2 linked regions of the Notamacropus eugenii genome follow. The protein of the gene in region 1 purifies or fractionates together with the protein of each later gene. This does not show direct contact. Links are inferred from orthologs where the notes say so. Each region holds a gene or a part of one and is shown in the gene's direction. Other genes may lie near its edges.

What was found. The genes of interacting proteins can lie anywhere in the genome.
Region 2: the proteins of CUEDC1 (region 1) and SMURF2 purify together in Homo sapiens (co-immunoprecipitation; 3 studies listed by BioGRID and IntAct, with this or other methods). This does not show direct contact. The link is inferred for Notamacropus eugenii from reciprocal best matches to the Homo sapiens genes CUEDC1 and SMURF2.

What each region holds. Positions count from the first base shown.
Region 1 is NC_092873.1:370,219,343-370,223,089, reverse strand, and holds the start of CUEDC1 (CUE domain-containing protein 1), read left to right. Parts: upstream 1-1,423; 5' UTR 1,424-1,478; coding exon 1,479-1,775; intron 1,776-3,747. Other genes in the region: uncharacterized protein, read left to right, coding at 1,116-1,227.
Region 2 is NC_092873.1:327,717,269-327,721,015, reverse strand, and holds the start of SMURF2 (E3 ubiquitin-protein ligase SMURF2), read left to right. Parts: upstream 1-951; 5' UTR 952-1,086; coding exon 1,087-1,138; intron 1,139-3,747. UniProt on the Homo sapiens protein: E3 ubiquitin-protein ligase which accepts ubiquitin from an E2 ubiquitin-conjugating enzyme in the form of a thioester and then directly transfers the ubiquitin to targeted substrates.

The sequences.
Region 1 (3,747 bases):
GGAACCAGATGGCAGGGAAGAAACCATCCAAGACAACCAAAATGATTCTAGCTAATCTAGAGCATAGAAAATATACATTTGAGAGATGGAACACATCAGAGGCAGTGTGTTGTAGGGCAAAGAGTACTGACCTTAAGAGACAGAGGAATTGGATTCAAATCCTAGCTCTGCCACTTCTATTTGGACCTGTGATCTTGGCCAAGTCATTTATTTCTCTGGGTCTCTGTTTGCTCAGTTGGAAAATAAGGGAATTGGACTAATTTATTTCTAAGCCCTCTTCTAGCTTTTAAGTCTATAACTTGATGAAAATTCAGTTTAGTCTGACTTCATCAGCTTAATCTTAAAAATAAGATGTAAATATATATATATGTATGTATGATTTTTAGTATTCCATAGAAACCCTTTCACATTGAGGAATGGCTCTTAATCTTGTATCAGTTCCTTATATATCTTGGATATGGAACTTTACCAGAGAAACTTATTAAACAGATTTTCCCCCAAGTTCTTTATTCCCTTCTAATTTTTAGTACATTGGATTTATGTCTACCAAAATTTTGAAATTTTACAGAATCAAAATGATTCTTTTTATCTTGAATAATTCTATCTGTTGTTTGTCCATTTACCCAAATAAACTCAGATTTCTTTTGAGAATGGGGATTTTCTCTTTATCATCATGCTGGGAACTCCCAAGTTATAGTTAGCAATTATATCTTCAAGTTATAATTGATTATTTTGTCATTGTTTTACTCATGAACTCTTTCCCTATCCATAGGTCTGAAAGGCAGTTTCTTCCTTGCTCCTCTAATGTGCGTATTATGTGTATATCTAAGTCATATATCCATTTGGAGCTCATGCTGGTGTATAGTACGAGGTGCTGGTCTAAATCTAAATTCTGCCCGATTCTTGTCTGGTTTTCCTATCAGTTTTTGTCAACAAATTCCTCCCCCAATATTTCTTAGAAATAAATCTACTTCTCAGATAGGAAAATGACAGGTCTAATCTGACATCTTTGGAGGAAAAAATGAATTTCAGTGGACTGACCATGTTGTGTTATCATTAACATCAACATTGCTGCCTGTTCTTCACCACTGACTTGTATCCCCTTTCTGTTCCAGGTGGAAAACATCATTGGATTTGGGTTCAACATGTCACAACATTCAGGCTGACAGTCAAGGCATCATTGGACAATCCTGCCTGTCCCCATCACCTCATTGTCAGGCTGGATGACGCCAAACACCCAGAACAACTCCCTGAGGACCACTTCACAGCATGACCACTTAGCCTCCTGACTGGAAGGCCCCGCCACCCCCCCCTGCCCTGTTCCCACCTCCCACCCCAGGTGGTGAGGGAGTGAAATTTCAGAGCAGTGGGGGGGGGGGGGGGGTGGCAGCAGTGGAGGTGGGGGGAAGGGGTGGGTGGGCTGGGGGGAATCGATTTCAGCTCCAGGTTGAAACATTTTCCCAGAACAGTTCTGCAAAATGACAAGCCTGTTCCGCAGGAGCGGCAGCAATGGTGGGTCCCGGGGTGGGGGGAGCGCCTCGGCCCAGGAACTCAATAACAGCCGGCCTGCTCGGCAAGTCCGGCGCCTGGAGTTCAACCAGGCCATGGAGGACTTCAAGACCATGTTCCCTAACATGGACTATGACATCATTGAGTGTGTGCTGCGTGCCAACAATGGCGCCGTTGATGCCACCATCGACCAATTGCTGCAGATGAATCTGGATGGGAGCAGCTATGATGATAGCTCTGACTCGGATGGCAGCATCCCCCCCGAGGTGAGGGGGTACCCTGTGCACCTTAGCAGGCCACACTAGCTCTGCTTTACAAAAAGAAGAAAACACACCCATGTCAGTGTAGTGTGTAGACATCTAGACTCAAGAGACCTGGGTTCAAATCTTGACTCTGAAGCTTATTAGCTGTGTGTCCATGGGGGAGCCAACCTTCTCAGCCTCTGTTTCCTCATCTGTAAAATGGGGCTAGTGCTTGTGTTCCTCACAAGGCTATTGTGAGGAAAGCTTATCATTATTATTTATTTAACATTTATTAATATATTTTATATTTATATATTTAATATTTTATGTAATATTTATATAGCATATAGTAACAAATTTATTGTTTATCAGTTATATATTATAAATTCATGTATTATATATAACATATTTATATGATATATTTATTAATTTGTATATTATATTATATATTTATAGCTTTCTATTTATATACAGCATATTTATTTATTATTACTTTATTTTAAACTTAAATATGTAATTATTATTATTTTTTAAAAATACATGAAGCAAAAATCATATACCTCTCCATCAGGGTCCCACCTTTTCATACTGTATGTCAACTAAGGGGTCAGTAACATACTGTGCACAGAGACCCCTGCTTGAAAAATGCATAGTCTATAAAGAAGTAAGATAAGATACATAGATGTGGGAAACAATTCCAGGGTACAAAGAATGTCTAAATGAATGAAAATGAATGTAGTCTCTTGTCCTCCTCACCCTTTTCAGTCATTTGCTGAGTCCTTCAGCTTTTCCTTCGAAGTATCTCTGGCACCTGATCCCATACCTGTCTTTTCCATTCCTCCTGTTACCACTCAAATTCGGGTCCCTATTAGCTTGTGCCTGGACTGTGATGATCACTTCTAGCTGGTTCCATCTCTATAATCTCTCTCCTTCTTCCTATCTTCTCTATGTGCAGTTTTCCTTAAAACACCTCCATCTCTGCTCCAAAGTTTTCAACAGCTCCCTCTTGCTCATAGAATAAAGTTAGTTCGACATTCAAGGCCTGTTGCAATCAATTCCCGGCTTATTTTTCCTGCCTTATCTCTCACTTTTCCCTATTTAATCCATCTACTCTGGCCAAATTGGTTCATCTACTATCCCCTTTCATCTTTTCTCTCTTTCTCATTCATCCTTTTTCCCTTAAAAACACATATAACCATAATCTAGACTTATCAAAATTCTATTAATTTCTCCTGGTTTAGTTCAAAGGTCACCTCCTTCTGGCCCATGGTACTATGTCCTTCTTCTGAAACCCCATGCCTCTTGCTGGCTGGACTGCTCATATACTGCCTGCCTACCTCCCAACTATTGCCTTCTGCAATGGCTATTTATTTGGAGTCTTATCTCCTCAATTAGATCATAAACTAAACTATACCCATTGGTGTAGTGGAGAGATGGCTAGATTGGGAGGCAGAGGACCTGAGTTCCGTTTCTGTTTTAGGCACCTATTTCTTATCCCTCTAGCTTTGAATGAGGCACTTCCATTCTCTGGGACTCAATTTTCTCCCCTGTAAGATGAGGTTGGTTGGATTAGGTGATCCCTAATGTCCCTTCCAGTGTTGAGTCTATGACCCTAAGCTTCTGGTGGACGAGAACTATGTAGTACCCATTTTTGGAGGTCTTTTTTTGCTTTGCTCTGCCCAGAGAGAACAAAAGCTGCCTGGAGTCCCTTTCCCAGCTTCCCTAAGAACACCCTTGCTTGCTATCAAAAATCCCCCCCTGTCAGTTTAGAGGGGGCCACATCACAGACTTACAAATCTCAAACAGAGAGGGACCCAACATGTCATCCAGCCCAACACCCTCATTTTAAAGATGAGAAAACTGAGGCCCAGGCATGTTAATAACTTGTTCAAGATCACACAAGTGGTAAGCATTATAGGTGGGATTTGAACCCATGTCCCTCTACCTCAAAGTCAGAAGCCCACTATTCTTTCTGCAGGTGTGTGCGCATGGGAGC
Region 2 (3,747 bases), about 43 Mb from region 1:
TCGTAGCCACAGGACCATCTCAAGAGAAGGTAGCCCAGCTGCTCCAGGAAGAATGCACAGAAGGGGCGGGGGCGGAGGCGGGAGGCATTTAACTTCTGTCCAGGCTTCCTCGACTGAAAAAGGAGGAGTTCTTCCCTCCTTTTCCTCTTGGGGAGGCTAGCGCTTTAAATGCTAGAAGAGGTTCTACCAGGGAGCAAAGCTGTTACTGGGTTAGGAGTCCGGTCACCCCCAGCTCGGGTGGCGGGGGGTCGGGGAACCTGACCCCACCCCTTAGGAATGGAACAGAATGTCTCCCCAGGGTGGGGGTGGGTGAGGACGCCAGGTCGGTCAGCCGCCTCTTCGGGGCTTCGGGGACACTTCTGCCTCCCAAGGGTCCCGAAAAGCACGTGAGGAGGCGTGGCAGGGCCAAGGCCAGGGGATAGGTCAAGACCGTCTGCCGGGGCGGCGGCGGCGGACCGGACGCTCGGCTGGAGCCTCTTCCCTTCCTCTCGGCTTCTTCCGTCCCCTCGCGCTCCCCGTGACGTCACAGACCCCGCCCCAGCTCTTCTACACCCTTTGTCACCCCCCCCCCCCCAAACGCTCAGCACTCCCCCCCAGACTGAGTGGCAGCGTCGGCTGGAACGCGTTCCTTCCGAGGGAGGGCGGGTGGAGGAAGGAAGACGAGGAACCTCGAGCTCAGCCCCGGCGTCGCCTCAGCCCGGCCCCTCTTCGCCGAGCCGAGCCGAGCAGGGCAGCGGGGGGCTGGCCGGAGCCCGAGAAGCCGGAGGAGAGGGCGGGCGCGGTGGGAGCGATCTCGGCGTCCCGCTCTCTCCTCGGCTCATGGCGAGGACTCTCGGCACATCCGGGACCCTGGGGCCGCCGCGGCCGCGGCTCCGGCTGCTCCGTCCCCAGCGCCAGCCCCGGCCCGGGCCTCAGTCCCAGCCCCGGCCCCAGCCCCGGCCGCTCTGGTGACTCCGCCGCGCCTTCGCTCCGCCCGTCCGCCCCCGGCTCACCAGCCGCGCGCTCGGATACTGGGAGACGCCCGGCCCGGCGCCCCGCGCCCCGCGCCCAGGCCCTGGACGAGTCGCCGCCGCCGAGGCCGAGGCCATGTCTAACCCCGGGGGCCGGAGGAACGGGCCCGTCAAGCTGCGCCTGACAGGTGAGGGCAGGGCCATGGGCCGGCGGGGATCCCGGGGGCAGCCCGGCTCGAGGCGGGCCGGACCGGGCCGAGGGGACCGCGGTCTCCCGCTGTGGTCCCAGGAGTTGCGGCCCGGCCCGGCTCGCGAGGAGGTGTCGGCACCGGGGTCGGAAGGCCTCGGGCCAAGGCCGATCCAGAGTCGCCGCTTTCAGAACTCTCGCAGCCCCTCAGCCACCTCTGTTCTTTTGTTGGGGGACTGGGAGTGAGAGAGAATGTGTGCGCGCGCGTGTTTAGTGAGTTTGTGAGTGTGAGAATGCGTGAATGCTAGTGTGCGTGTGTGCGTACGCGTGTAGAGGGGAGGTCAGGTTTTGAACTCGACTTACTCGGAGTTGGAAGTCCTCGGAGCTCCAGAGCTGGGCTCTCTCTAGACTCCTCTCAGCACTGGCCCTCCCAGGTTCTGTCCCTTGAAGCCCCAGGCTGCGGTGCCGCCCGCCTCGTGCCCCGCAGAGCTTGAATGCAGTGCCCCTGCGCTGGGGATAGGGTGCACCCCCTGGGAGCACGAAAGCTTCTGGGGATGTTTGCTGAAGCACCCCTGGGTTATTCAGGTGACTCCCTGCTGCCAGTCCAGGGTAGCCTGGAAGCCGTGTTTGTATACATCGCAAGGCTTTGTTGCTCATGGAGGAATTGTGTAGACGGACCACCGGCCCCCCGCCACCTTTTCTTCAATCTTACACTTTTTTATTGCCCGAAATCAGAATAATCAAGCTCATTCAACATATTCTGCGTTTTGACAGTGTTAATGGTAACCTAGCCTTTAGAAAATGCTTATTTTTGTGAGCTCAGAGAAGCCGTGTGTGTGTAAATCAAGAACTTGTAAACTCAGGACTCCTGGGAAAAGAAAACTCTGATATCAGGAAAGCGTTTTCCCCCCATGACTTTGGCTAAAGTTTGCCAACTTGAAAAAATAAACCAAAAAATGGCTCTTCTTGAGCTTAAAAAAGAAGTATATTGTTTCATAATTTACCTATCAGGTGTGCTAAATACTGATATGACATCGTAAACAAATTTTGATTTTTGTTTTGAAGATATGTCAAAATGAGTCAGTTACCCTGCCCTTGGGGAAAAAATTCCAGGTTGCTAAAGTTTATCTGAATAACTACTGAGAAAACCCAGTTTTATTAAAATAGGTGTTTTAGGTATAGTTTGATCAGTGATAAAAGTTGATATTCTGATTTGAAGTGATTAAAATTTTTGTCACAGAATTTTTTTTGGCTCTTCCCCCTAAACCTACCACTTTCTCTTGAGGGCATCATGATTCTTCCTATCACCATGGTGGTCATTCCTAACCTTACTGTCATTCTTAACCCTTGACTCTTGTTACAAAGAAATTGTCCATATTTAATCAGTTGCCAATTCTTACACGAATCTATCCCCTTGTCACTTCTTATCCCACAACCACCCTGGGTCCAGGGCTTGTAACCTCTTGCCTGGACTGTTGCAGTAGCTCCTAATTGGTCTTTAGGCCTCCAGTCTCTATGCTCTAAAATTGATCCTCCACACAGTTGTGAAGTCTGACTGCACTTCTTTGCTCAAAAAGTTTTAGTGACTCCTCATCACTGCCTTTAGGATAAAGTACAGATTACCCTGTTTGGCATTTAAAGTCCTGGCTCCAGCCTATCTTTTCAGACTGATTACACATTACTCCCTTTCCTGAACTCTACACTCTAGCTAGTAGTATGGGCTGTTTGCTGTTCTTGGTGCAGGCCATTATATATCCTTCCTGTCCTCCCTTCCTGCTCTCCCTTCTAGTCTCTGCTCCATGGATGCTCTACCTGCATTCAAAGCTCAGCTCAGGTGCCATTTCTTTCAGGAGGCCTTCTTTCATGTCTGTTGGTCATTGTGTATTTATTTTGCATATATCCTGTACTTATACATTGACTGTGTAAGGTCCTTGAGTTGGTTGGTAGCATTTTTATATTTGCATTCTCAGAGTTTGTTGCAATGTGTAACACATAATAAATAGGCACTTAAATGCTTGTTGGCTGATAGAAGAAAAAGCTATACCTGTTGACTTTGTTATTATGTGGATTTGGTAATTAAGCAATTGCTATCACTTTCAGAGTCCATGGGCATAACCTCTGAGATTAAAAACTCTGAGGTTAATTTGGTTGATAAATGTGGGAGATTTATTTTAGATTGAATGTATGCTGGCTCTACCTTTTCAAGTCCGTGTCTATGATGATATTAAGCATACGAATTATGACTCCAGATGAGCAATAGGTATCAAAAGTAGGATTTTTGCTACTTATTTTTATTAAATCTGTCCCTAAATGGAGAAAATGAAAGTATGAACAGATTTGCAGCAAATAAAAAGAAGTTGAGTTTTCCACATAAGCCATTAGATTCTTAAAATGTGTCCAGTGTTTTGGATTTTTTTTTTTTTGGTGCCAGTGGTTTTAAGGTGCTTCCTTTCTATGTGTAAAATTTAATAAAGCACTGAGCAGTGTAGGTTTCTCAGAAAGATTGTAATCTTAAGGAAAGACCTTCTTTAGTGCACCAGACTAAACTTCATTAAATGTAAATTAATTATATGTAATATAATAATTGAATTCATGTATTTTCAGATTTTG